2 linked regions of the Drosophila melanogaster genome follow. The main gene of each other region encodes a partner of the protein of the gene in region 2 in a complex. Each region holds a gene or a part of one and is shown on either strand. Other genes may lie near its edges. The genes, in order: ph-p and Scm.

Evidence for each region.
Region 1: the proteins of Scm (region 2) and ph-p are in contact, whole or in part, in a crystal structure (PDB 1PK1), measured with the Drosophila melanogaster proteins. Residues at the interface, in NP_001247006.1 of Drosophila melanogaster: Asp819, Ser821, His825, Met848, Lys854, Leu855, Gly856, Pro857, Leu859, Lys860, Asn863; in NP_476871.2 of Drosophila melanogaster: Gln1537, Gln1538, Glu1539, Ile1540, Asp1541, Gln1543, Ala1544, Leu1547, Leu1548, His1552, Ala1556, Met1557.

Annotation. Positions count from the first base shown.
Region 1 is NC_004354.4:2,133,323-2,138,258, forward strand, and holds the start of ph-p (polyhomeotic proximal), read right to left. Parts: upstream 3,301-4,936; 5' UTR 2,730-3,300; coding exon 2,695-2,729; intron 1-2,694. UniProt on the Drosophila melanogaster protein: Polycomb group (PcG) protein. PcG proteins act by forming multiprotein complexes, which are required to maintain the transcriptionally repressive state of homeotic genes throughout development.
Region 2 is NT_033777.3:9,632,820-9,639,753, reverse strand, and holds Scm (Sex comb on midleg), read left to right. Parts: upstream 1-2,142; 5' UTR 2,143-2,598; coding exon 2,599-3,144; intron 3,145-3,202; coding exon 3,203-4,120; intron 4,121-4,185; coding exon 4,186-5,217; intron 5,218-5,278; coding exon 5,279-5,416; 3' UTR 5,417-6,395; downstream 6,396-6,934. Other genes in the region: SpdS (spermidine synthase), read right to left, coding at 6,648-6,934. UniProt on the Drosophila melanogaster protein: Polycomb group (PcG) protein. PcG proteins act by forming multiprotein complexes, which are required to maintain the transcriptionally repressive state of homeotic genes throughout development.

The sequences.
Region 1 (4,936 bases), on a different chromosome or scaffold from region 2:
GGCAAACGTGGGCAAACGATGTTATTGCGATTTAAAAAAAAAAATTTTGAAAAAAGCGAAATTTTTGATTTTCGAAAATTTTCGAACTTTTTCGAAAATTCATATCTCAAAAACTGGACGTGGGCAAAAAAAACTAATTGGTGGGCAAACATGGGCAAAAAATGGGCAAACGATTCCAGCTTTCAAATTTCAAAAATTCGATTTTTCCGACCCCAGCTTCTTTGAGCTATAACAAAGTGATATCCGTTTTTTTTTTTTTTTTTTTTGTTTAAGCAAATATGGCTACTTGGTAAATACAAAAATCTGGTTTTAGTCATTCAAAAAAGTGTGAGACAAATGCGGGAACTAGCAAACAAAAACGCTCTTATTAAATAATCATATTTACAATGTAAACATAAAAGATGACTTTCGAGAGTGGCAGAAACAAACGCGGGAAAAGTAAATATGACTCTGAGGTAACGATCACCTTTAACTCGGGATAATATCAAAACTATAGTTCCGACTTAATCACAAGGTCAAGCCTGAAGATATGTACCATGTCATTTCAATTTCTAATTAAGAATTGTGTACCCTGGTTAACTTTTAGGTAGAGATCCCGAGCCCGATCCCGATCCCAATCCCTATCCCGAAAATATTCGTTCTTTTTGTGGACCTTTTTCCGAACCCGCCCTTTTTCAGCGACAATGAACATTTGGCCAACTACTTAACGGACTTTCGCATTCAACGAATGAAGAGAAAGGAGCTGCCTGACAGCCTTCGCATTTCACATCGATCTTTATCTATGGGTTTTCGAATTTCCATGAGCAGCATGGTAGTCGCACTCGTTTTCCACGTTCAACGTTCGACAACAACAGCCCGGAAAACTAATTTAGCCACGCAGCTGGCACCGTTCGATATTATTGTAAAAGGGCAATAAAGCCGATGCGAATTGCAGGCGAAGTTCAAGGACCTTTCCATCGAAATGCTAAAAATGCTGACAGTTGGGAGCAACACGAGATGGTTAGTGTTTTATACAGTAGTGCTCAAGCTAATAGGATTAGTGGACAAACGTAAATGGCTGAGTACTCCACATGGTAAGGATGTTTTTCTAGAAATAATTAACTAATATTACTTCCTGAATCAGTTCCCTGATATAGTTCAACTATGAATGATCTAACTGGAGAAGCGTGGTTTCAAGGTCCTATTGCATTGACCGCGACTGTGATGCCCGGCAGTCCAGAGAGCCTGATCCCCACCCCTTTCCATCGCCCAAAAAGCCCGCAAGGCCCATAAACAGCAAGAGCATAAAAAGCATGAGTGCAAAAAAGACAGAAAAAGGAGCGAAATGGGTTATAAAAGCCGGTAAAAGCATTTTGGCAACCCTCATGTCGCTGCTACCCCGTAAAAGAAAGGGAATATGGGGTGGGTGGTCCAGAGGGGTGGAATACTCGCCACAGGGTGGTGGGTGCGCGTGTGCAAGTGTGTGTAAGTTAAGCTCACGGCCGCACGCTGCGAAAAACCTCTTGAGAGAAAAAAAAAGACTGGTTTCCATGTCGCCATGGAGTAGGGTACATACATTCGAGCTCGAGTGTGTGAGAACCCCCGTAAAACAGCCTGCTTGCAATCGGGGGGAAAGCAGTAGCGGTGGGAAAGGAATGATCAAAATGCGGGGCAGCACACACACACACAGACACGCCGATAGGGGTGCGGGGGAAAGGTCGCGCTCAAATCAAACATCACCTCCAGTGGATTCGGGCGTGCAAAATGCGCGGGAGCGAGCGAGGAGGGGGGGGGCCTTGACAGCCTATTGATTGATACACAAACGAGTTCTGCAATCGAAGAAGATGAAACAAATGTGAGTGAACGAGATGAGGCTATGGCCAGGCCGTACACACAGTCACATAAACTCAGAGCGAGTGCGGTGTAGCGTAGGTGTAAACAGAGTTGTCAACTATTTATTTACAAAAACTGTTGTGCTTTAAACGAGTCTAAAATAATTTAATCATTCTGGTTTATTTTCTTGCCACGAACAATTTAAGTTTGTAGGTAAAAATTAGCATTCAGTGATAACGGACTGTAAGAAATATAAAAGTATTCAATAAAATTGAATCTTCGTTAAACCGGAACACAGATTTCTCAGATTCGTTACAGCTGACAACCCTAGACTGTTTATTTCGGCAGAGTAAAGCAAAATGTAAGCAGGGTTGCCGCAGCAACAACAAAAACTGATACCTTTCGATATAGAACTTTTGTTTTCTTTATGTTGCTTTGTTGCGCGAGTGAGAGAGGGTTGCACGGAGAGACGGAGAAATCAACCACCACCAGCCGACGCACACACACAAATGCAGACACGGGCATGCATTGCGAAATTCGTTGTTAAAAATGCAACAACACCGCACAGCGGGGGGCGTGTGTCGGTTGGATGATGAATGGCGGAGAGGGCGACGGAGGGGAAACTCGTTTTGGGTTTCATGAATTTATTTTCTTTTCTTGGCCCGCCAGTCGAGCGCATTTTATGATGACAGAGAGCACAGAATATCCACTCGCTGCATTTTTACGAGCATTATGATTAACGTGTCATTATTATCCGAATACGATATAGAATCAATATCCAATGCTCAAGAGCAGATTAAACCAAAAATTGTAAACAAAAAGCACAAGTGCAGGCAGTACAAAAGCAGTGATAAAAATAAAACCAAACTAAACAAAAAATACCTTTTTTGCATAAACTTCAATGCACGACGATCCATTATTCAAAATAAAAACAATATTTATAATAAATTATAGGTATGCATGCGTCGGCTTAGGCGTTTTGTTTTTGTTTTCGGCGGCGGCGGAGACACTCGTGGTTGTTTTTGTTATAGTCGGCATGGCGCTTTCTTTTTAGTCCTCAGTTTCTTCTCTTTTTGCTATTTGCCGTATTATATTGTACATTAACAAACACGCACATGTGTGAAGGCAATAAATATAAACATACAACAGGCAACACCAAACATATACATATGTATGTAACGTGGAACGCAAGACAACAAAAGTACACAAAACGAATACGAAAATCCGACAAAAGTCCCAGTGTCTCGTGTGTGTGTGTGTGTGTGTGTGTGCTTGCGTGTAAATGAGTGTTTCGTGCACGGGCAGTAGTAATTAGTACAACCTCCACTCACAGTCACTCCACTTCAACTTCTCCCCGCTGGCTGCAGGCACTTTTCTTTTTCTCAGTGTAACGACTAAGCACCTGTGCACGCGATCTTACATAAAATTAAGCCACAGTCACAGCACTAAGTACTTGTTTTAACTGCACTGCCTACGTCGCCAGCGACGATTCGCCAGCTAGGGGCTCCACTGTGGCGCGGCATCACTTTTTATGTCTGCACATCTGCACTAGCTAATCAACAGCACCGTTAGCTCTTTTTGAAAAAAATTTAACAAATTTGCAGGGTATCCAGTGAGTATGTCGCGTCGGCGGGTTTTTTCTTCGTTCAATACACATGCGATGCGGTATGCGACACATACGACACCACACCAACACGAACGCAGAGAGAGCAGAGCGCAAGAACCGTACACCGCCAAGTTAAGTTTCAAACTGAACCGCGCGCCACAGCGACAACTCTACTTTTCGTTCGGATCGGAAACAAAATGAGCGCATGTGCGCTGAATATGTGTGTGTGTTGGTGTGCAGCTGGATCCGCTTCTCTCTTCTCAGATGCCGTTGCGACTAATAACTTTTCTCTATACCGAAATGCACGGGTGCGAGTGCGACGCCACTAGGAGTGGCCCTGGCCAGTTAGCGCGTGCGAGAGGGATGCCGTGCGTTCGCTTGGGGTTGGAATGAAACGGCAGCAGTTCGTTTGACAAAGCAAAACCAAAACGAGTAAAAAAAACAGGAAGACTACAGCTGGCGGGCATGTGTATGCGTGCTCAACCACCCCGACTGAAAGCCCCCTTCCGTTGCTGAAAACATAACATGGTCTGGTGACTCGACTTTCAAATACCCCTTTTTCATATACCATTCCTCGCTAACTTCAGTCGTATCCTTAAAATGAAAACCCTTCTTAAATATTTATTTGTAAGTTATTGGTGCTGACTACTAACACAAATTCCAGTTAAAACCAAGTGCCCAGTATACCCTTTTACTTTGTGGGTACCGGGTATGTACATACATAAATACGCGCGAAGCCAGTTTTATGTGTGTACACTCGAATGTCTACCGCCCGGCCCGACTCGACAACGATTGTTGCTATACTTCATCTTCTTTTTTCGTGCCATCACAACCACCACCACTACGACTACCTTCCTACCTCTACCTCCTTTCTCATTCCTTCTTTTTCACATCAGATCGGGTCGGATCGGCTTTACCTTATTATTAGTTGTGCTTGTCAGTAACACACGGGTGTGTCGGTTGAGAAGGGGAGGATAGCGTATGCGCAGAGGCAGAGCGAAATCTTATTCTCTCCACCCCATTGAACAGTGGTAAGCGATCCATTATTATTGGATTGCTTTACAGTTGCAGTTTGAGAACCAAGAGTACAGTGGGTCAATTTTTTAGAACAGCAATTTTTCCAAACTTTTTATACATATAAACAATGTTACGATAAGTAAAATGAAAACGTTTAGTAAAATAGAATTATATAATAGACATACGTATTGAGTTGATTTATTAAGTTTTAAGTTTATTAATGTTTCAAATATCCACCACTCATGACCCACTGTGCCTGTCTTTGTCATTTCATTTTTCATTTTGTGCCAGCCCGTGCGTGTGTGCATGCACCATTTGTAGTATGTGTGCGTTGCTTTGGGCTCTTGTTGGTCTTCTTCTTACTCTTCCCACCTCATCCAACAACAACGTCGCTGAGCCCCACAAATGTTTTCATTCCGATTAGCTTTTTGTTGGCTTGTCTCGTCTCGTTTCCTTTTCTTTTTTGCTGCCGCCATATTATTTTTAGGCTTTTTAAGTGCT
Region 2 (6,934 bases):
TTACCTTGAAAACGAATTCAATTACCATTTATATCACATTGCTATCCACATTGTACACACAGCCAGATAAGCAATTTATAATTTGGGACCCCCCAAACTTTTCATGCCATCTACATCAACTAGTTTGGCTAGCCCACGCATCACTCAAAAAAAGCAACAGTGTTGCCAGCATTCGCAATTGTCCTGCGTCCTTGGGCGCGTTGATCACCCACTTTGACATACTTTTTAATTGCTTGGAACACGTGTCTTCGCCTTTTATGTATGCAGAATGTGCATGCGTCGGCTTGTAATTAAGCACGTAGGCAAACGCCTCCATTTCCTGCCCAGCAGGATGCTTTATGGCTGATTGAATTCCGTCAAAATGCCACTCCCGCCAATTTATACGTGCTTTTATGCGAGCTGTAATGCTGTTTTGGTAGTGCGAGGCAATTTTAATTTACTTTTAATTTTTAATAGAGCAACTAGTAAAGTCTAGCTACTTGCCTGATTACTTTTGCTTAGGGATTCAAGAAGGAAAGGATATCCATAAGGGTGTAAGATGCAACCTTGTACTTGGTTCTGTACACCCATTAATGAATATGCTTATTAAGTTCAATCCCCACTCCAGTGCCCACTCGGAGCCAGAAATTTCTTTTGTCCAATTTGCGTAACAAGTCAATGACTCAAGAACTCGTCTCTGGACACCCCTTTTTCTAATAGCCCATCAAGGATTTGACAGGCGACTAAACGGTAAACGGGCATTTAATGAGGAGCAGAAAAGGCAGCCGCCTCATTTCATCCAATTATCCTTGTTATGGGCAGCCGATGGTCCCATCCAATTATGCGCGATTTGACGATTGTGTGAGTGTCAGGGAACTTGGTTTCGGTCAAGTTTAATCATTAATAATTAGGAATGTCTTTATTGATTATTAAAGAGGGACATCACGCCGCCTTCAAAACATTCAATTAACAGTGTTATCAAGTTTTTCGACCGCAATATTTGGCTTCCAGTTGGTTATCTTTGAAACGCGACTAAGTGAGCGGATTATTCTTTGAAGCACATCAATTAAATCAAGTTACGGACCATTTAGGCAAAGCGAACAAAAATCAAACAGCAGCAGAAGTTAGCCAAAAAGTTTGACCAATATACATTTCGGCTAATCCCAGAAAAGTTTTTCCAACTTGTTTCATCTTTGAGCCGCTTTCGACTTACTGAATTTACTGCAAACGAAACACACTTATGTAATTTCTAGTAATTTGCTAGACTTCTTGACATTTGCGACGCTCTTCAGCAAATAAAATTAACGAAAGGTAAGCAAGTAATATTAATTTGCTTGACCTAATAAAGCCTTAGGCCAATCGTATAAGCCATTATTTTGATAGTAACATATTTTTGTATTTCAGTATTGATTGTTTCATGGTTTTGGTAATTACGAAAACCGCTTTCCTATGTTATACATGATTTTATTAAAATATCAAAACTTTCCCTTGTTCAACCCATTTTCCACTATCTGAACCGCTTTATTGCGAATTTCTCCCAGTTCAATGGAAATGTTTACATACCAGAGCGTTCTATAAATTGGTAGATATTAGTTTTGTTGACTAACCCATTTTTTTTTTTTTGATTTTCGGCTGATGTGTGCCGTGCGCTTTCAAATTTACAGACTTTTTATATTATTCACCAATTTACGCCCACTTGATGCTGTGCAAATTTGATTCACGAGCGTTTTGTTAGTTTTACTGGGAAATACTATGAGCTGATATTAAAACGTAGGAATTCGGTTATAAGTTTATATTCTCAAAACCAAAACGGTTCAGTTTACTAGACTAAATAGTTTTTACATTACGCTGTACAATTTTTGACAGGAAATCCAAATTTCTTTTCTATAATAAGGGCTTACGTTTTTAAAAATGACAAATATTTATTTATATTAGCAGTTAAATTAAATACAACATTGTGGTAAAAGTATTGAGCATTATCTACTTTGCTCTTTAAATTGACTATTTATTGTCAGTTATGTGATTTCCCATTTAACGTTATTTTAAAATTGCATTTAGTTGCTTCGATAACATTTTTCGATTAGTCACATTAGTTGATTATTTTCATCGCTTCGTGAGCTGTCACAGGTAAGCAACTATCGATATGCGCAAAGATCTGAATGTCACCACTAGAAAAACAAATATGGCGGAACCGAGCGTAAAAGTAAAAAAAGTCTAACATTTTGGAGTTTAAGCGACTCAAAATCATCTAATTTCGGATTGAAACCGAGTAACAAGATCCGCGCAGCGCTCTAAATATAAAGCTCGATATTTGGTGAACCAGAAACTAATTGTGCGGCTCGCGTTTGTTTTCGTTGGGTGATGCGATGCGATTTGGCCACCAATTTGTTATTACGTGACCTCAAGAACGCCGCAAAATTTCGCCAGGCCAAATCGAAAGAAATCGGAAAGTTAGTGCTGCAAAACAAAACTTGCTATTGGTGGCTAATGATTCAAGGCAGCCGCAATGCGATTTGACCGCCGGATCGGAACACACGAAATCGAAATCGCCTGAGATGCCAAGGGGCTTGCCGGCGCGAATCAGCAAGTGCGACTACTAGGACAGCCACGCGAGAAACCATGTCGGGCGGACGTGATAGCAGTACCAGTAGCGGGAGCAATTCTGCTGCGCCAGGGGCCAGTACGAATGCCACCTCCTCCGCATCCGCATCCGCCTCCTCCACATCCACATCCGCATCCCCTGGAAGTACAACATCGCCCGCGTCCACGCAACGGCAACGAGGTAGACCGGCCAAACGAGCCACATGCACCTGGTGCGGCGAGGGCAAGCTACCGCTGCAGTACGTCCTGCCCACGCAGACCGGCAAGAAGGAGTTCTGCTCGGAAACATGCATTGCCGAGTTCCGCAAGGCGTACAGCAAGGGGGCGTGCACCCAGTGCGACAACGTCATCCGCGATGGGGCGCCCAACAAGGAGTTCTGCTCGATCATGTGCATGAACAAGCACCAGAAGAAGAACTGCTCGACCAGGCACAGCGGCGGATCGGCATCGGGCAAGGGTCTGGCGGAAAGCGAGCGCAAGTTGCTGGCCAGTGGAGCGCCCGCACCAACGGGGCCCTTTCAATACGAGAGCTTCCACGTCTTCGACTGGGATGCCTATCTAGAGGTAAGTCAAGCTGGGATAATGCTTTAACCCCCAATCTCATACTTTTTGTGGTTTCCAGGAAACGGGTAGCGAAGCTGCTCCTGCAAAATGTTTCAAACAGGCTCAGAATCCTCCCAACAATGATTTTAAAATCGGAATGAAGCTGGAGGCTTTGGATCCGCGCAACGTCACTTCCACCTGCATTGCCACCGTGGTCGGAGTGCTTGGCTCCAGACTGCGGCTACGCCTGGATGGAAGTGACTCCCAGAATGACTTTTGGCGGCTGGTCGATTCTACGGAGATCCATGCTATTGGACACTGTGAAAAGAACGGTGGCATGCTGCAGCCGCCTCTGGGATTCCGCATGAACGCATCCAGCTGGCCCGGCTATCTGTGCAAGATCCTCAACAATGCCATGGTGGCGCCAGAAGAGATCTTCCAGCCAGAGCCGCCAGAGCCAGAAGAAAACCTGTTCAAGGTGGGCCAGAAACTCGAGGCTGTCGACAAGAAGAACCCGCAGCTCATCTGCTGTGCAACAGTAGATGCAATCAAGGATGATCAGATCCATGTAACATTCGATGGTTGGCGAGGGGCATTCGACTACTGGTGCAATTACCGATCGCGTGACATTTTTCCCGCCGGCTGGTGCGCTAGAAGTTGTCATCCCATGCAGCCACCGGGCCATAAATCGCGCATGGACTCCAGCTCTAGCAAACAGCGATGCCCTCGACCCCGCTACACTGTTGTAGCTGAGTCCGAGGCTATGGTTCCCGCTTCCCCTGCCACAGCCCACTTCCATCCGAACTGCAAGGGCGGTCCGTTCATCAACAATTCCAAACTGCCCTGCATGGTGACGGGACCCACCTACCAAACGCTGGCCAAGCTTTGCCTGCAGGAGGTTTTAGCTGCCAGCACGGATACGCAACAGCTCTCAAAGTTGCTGTTTGCCCTGGAAGGAGATGTTCATATCGTGACGGCAGCGGGGAAAAATTTCACAGTGAGTTCAAGATCAATTAAATTCAATGAAAAGCATGTTTAAAATATACTCTTCGTTTCTTAAAGGTAAAAATACCATCGCCAATGCGAATGAAGGATGACGAAAGCCTCGCCCAATTCATCGAAACGCTGTGCACTACATGCCGGGCATGTGCGAATCTCATTTCCTTGGTCCACGAGACGGAGGAGTGCAAGAAGTGCGCCAATAGTCGGAAGCGTCAACTGACTCAGTCAGCCACACCGCCTTCCTCGCCAGTGCTCGCCGACAAGCGAAACCGTCAATCCAACTCGGCAACGACATCACCCTCTGAGAAGATTATCAAGCAGGAATTGGCTGTCAAATCGCCAGTGGAGTCCAAGTCGAAAACTTCGACGAACAATGGCAAGGAGCCTGCAAGCCAGCAAAACAGCAATCACAGTCTCAACAATAACAACAACAGTGCCAGCAAGTCCAGCAACAAGGTGGTCATCAAATCGGAGCCCAACGGAGCGAACGCGCAGACTTCCTCCACAACGCAGGCTCTGCGCAAAGTACGCTTCCAACACCACGCAAACACGAATACGAATAGCTCTGCGACAAACGGAAACCAGGATACGAGCCAGACCACGCACGTATCTACCAGCCATTGCAGCAGCTCGTCAACGTCGTCCAGCACGAGCCTAGCCGGAGGATCGGCGAACACCAGCACAATTGGCAAATACCTGGCACCTCTTGTGGCAGAAGTTCATCCAGAGCAGGCCAATGTAAAGCCCTCGAATAGCTACTACAAGAGTCCGACGACGCTCTCGTCAAGCGCCTCGTTGCCGACATCCGTGTCCACGCCGTTCACGGGCTGCCAGTCAGCCTCGTCCACTGCACTGGCTGCAGGTGGAGTTACAGCGGCTAAGGCGGCCACCGCGCCGGCTGGAGCAGCGGCAACTGCGGGAGCTTCTCCGAGCTACACCGCGATTACCTCACCCGTGAGCACGCCCACTTCTGCTTTGGCAAACTCACATCTGCGGTCGCAGCCGATCGACTGGACCATCGAAGAGGTGATCCAGTACATCGAGAGCAACGACAACTCCCTTGCAGTTCATGGTGATCTCTTCCGAAAGCACGTAAGTAGTAGCTATTACCAATTACCTTAAATAAAGTAACTTATCTAATTTTCGTCTGTAGGAAATCGATGGTAAAGCTTTATTATTGCTAAATTCAGAGATGATGATGAAGTACATGGGCCTGAAGCTAGGACCAGCCTTAAAAATCTGCAATTTAGTCAATAAGGTCAATGGTCGTCGAAATAATCTGGCACTCTAAACAGAAAAACATTAAGTTTCAGGCAGCGGACTCGGTTCGGGTTTGACTTATATAGAAATTGTTAACAAATTAGTACCTCCCTTTAACGTAAAGCAAAGCAAACATGAACGATATTCATAGATGTGTTATGTGTTGGCCATTCATGAAGAAAAAACCCCTACCCTATTTTATTATATTGATAATATAAAACACGCTATAACAAATGTAATCGCGAAGACATGAAATTCCCTATACAAAATCAATCGCATAACAAATTATACACAGTCAAGCTCCGGTTTTCAAAACCATTATTATTAATTTTTTTCCAACTGCTCGTGATTCTTTTTTTGGAATACACATTTACAAATTGATTTATTTAGACAAAATTATTATACTTGAATTAGGAATTTTTATAGGTTTATTCAAATTTACCCAGTCAAAGGAGTGGAGTATTCGTACACACACAATAATTAGTTTATCCATCTATTTCGAAAAATGTGAAATAGTTCTCAATTGGACACAAAATGATTCGACTTTTTCGAAAACTGGAGCTCGGCTACCAAAATCGCAATGCACATACATTATATTTATTACACATAAAAACACGCACATTAGACACCAAAATCTATCCGACACAAAAGAAATGATAATTAACTTTAGAATAGGCGAGAAAATAAAAACCAATATTAAATGATTGTACATATTTTACATCTAATTTTGTAATTATGTATCAATTGCGTTTCCTAACTATAACAATATTTAATTAGTCATTAAACAGGTTGAAGATTTAATTTCTATTAAGTTATTGAAATTGAATATCAGTTTTTAGTTAATTATTCACATGCAGTTAAGGTCATTTTTGCATATAAGAAACGCTTCCTTTCAAAGTTTTGCAATATATGCGATATATAAATGAGAGTAACATTCGGTCGTGTAAAATATTGCAATAAGTCTCATTATGTTAACCCAGCATCCACTTACAAATACAAAAATTAAATAGAGCCAACTGTATATATCATTACGTAATAAACATTACAATTTGTTCTATTTTCAACAGTAAAATAACTGAAAGATGGTAGTCGGATTGGAAGGAAAATACTCAGGCTACAAAAATTCGACTAAAAATGAATCATTGCAAGAGTCAGCATTTGTTGAAAATATCCAAGAATTTAAGAAGCGATGATAAACAAGTCATATTATTATCATATTTATTTTTAACAAACAGATACACACGAATCTTTCCGCAACCTGGTCATTCGTAAAAGTGCTTCTGCACCCATCGAGGCAAGGCAAAGGCGGCGGAGTGAACCTCGGAGGAGTAGTACCTTAGGTCTATAGAATCGATTTCGGACTTTCCAAGCTTGGGAGTAGCGAAGTCCTGGTTTTTGTTCAGGGAGCCCATGACGAAGCCAATGTGGCCGCAGGGATAGGACGGAACGGAGGTGACGGCATAGGCCACCTTAGCAAAGTGCTCCTTGCAGCCGGACATGGTCTTCTTGATGTAGTCCAGGTCCAGCCAGAAGCTACCGCCCTGGGAGC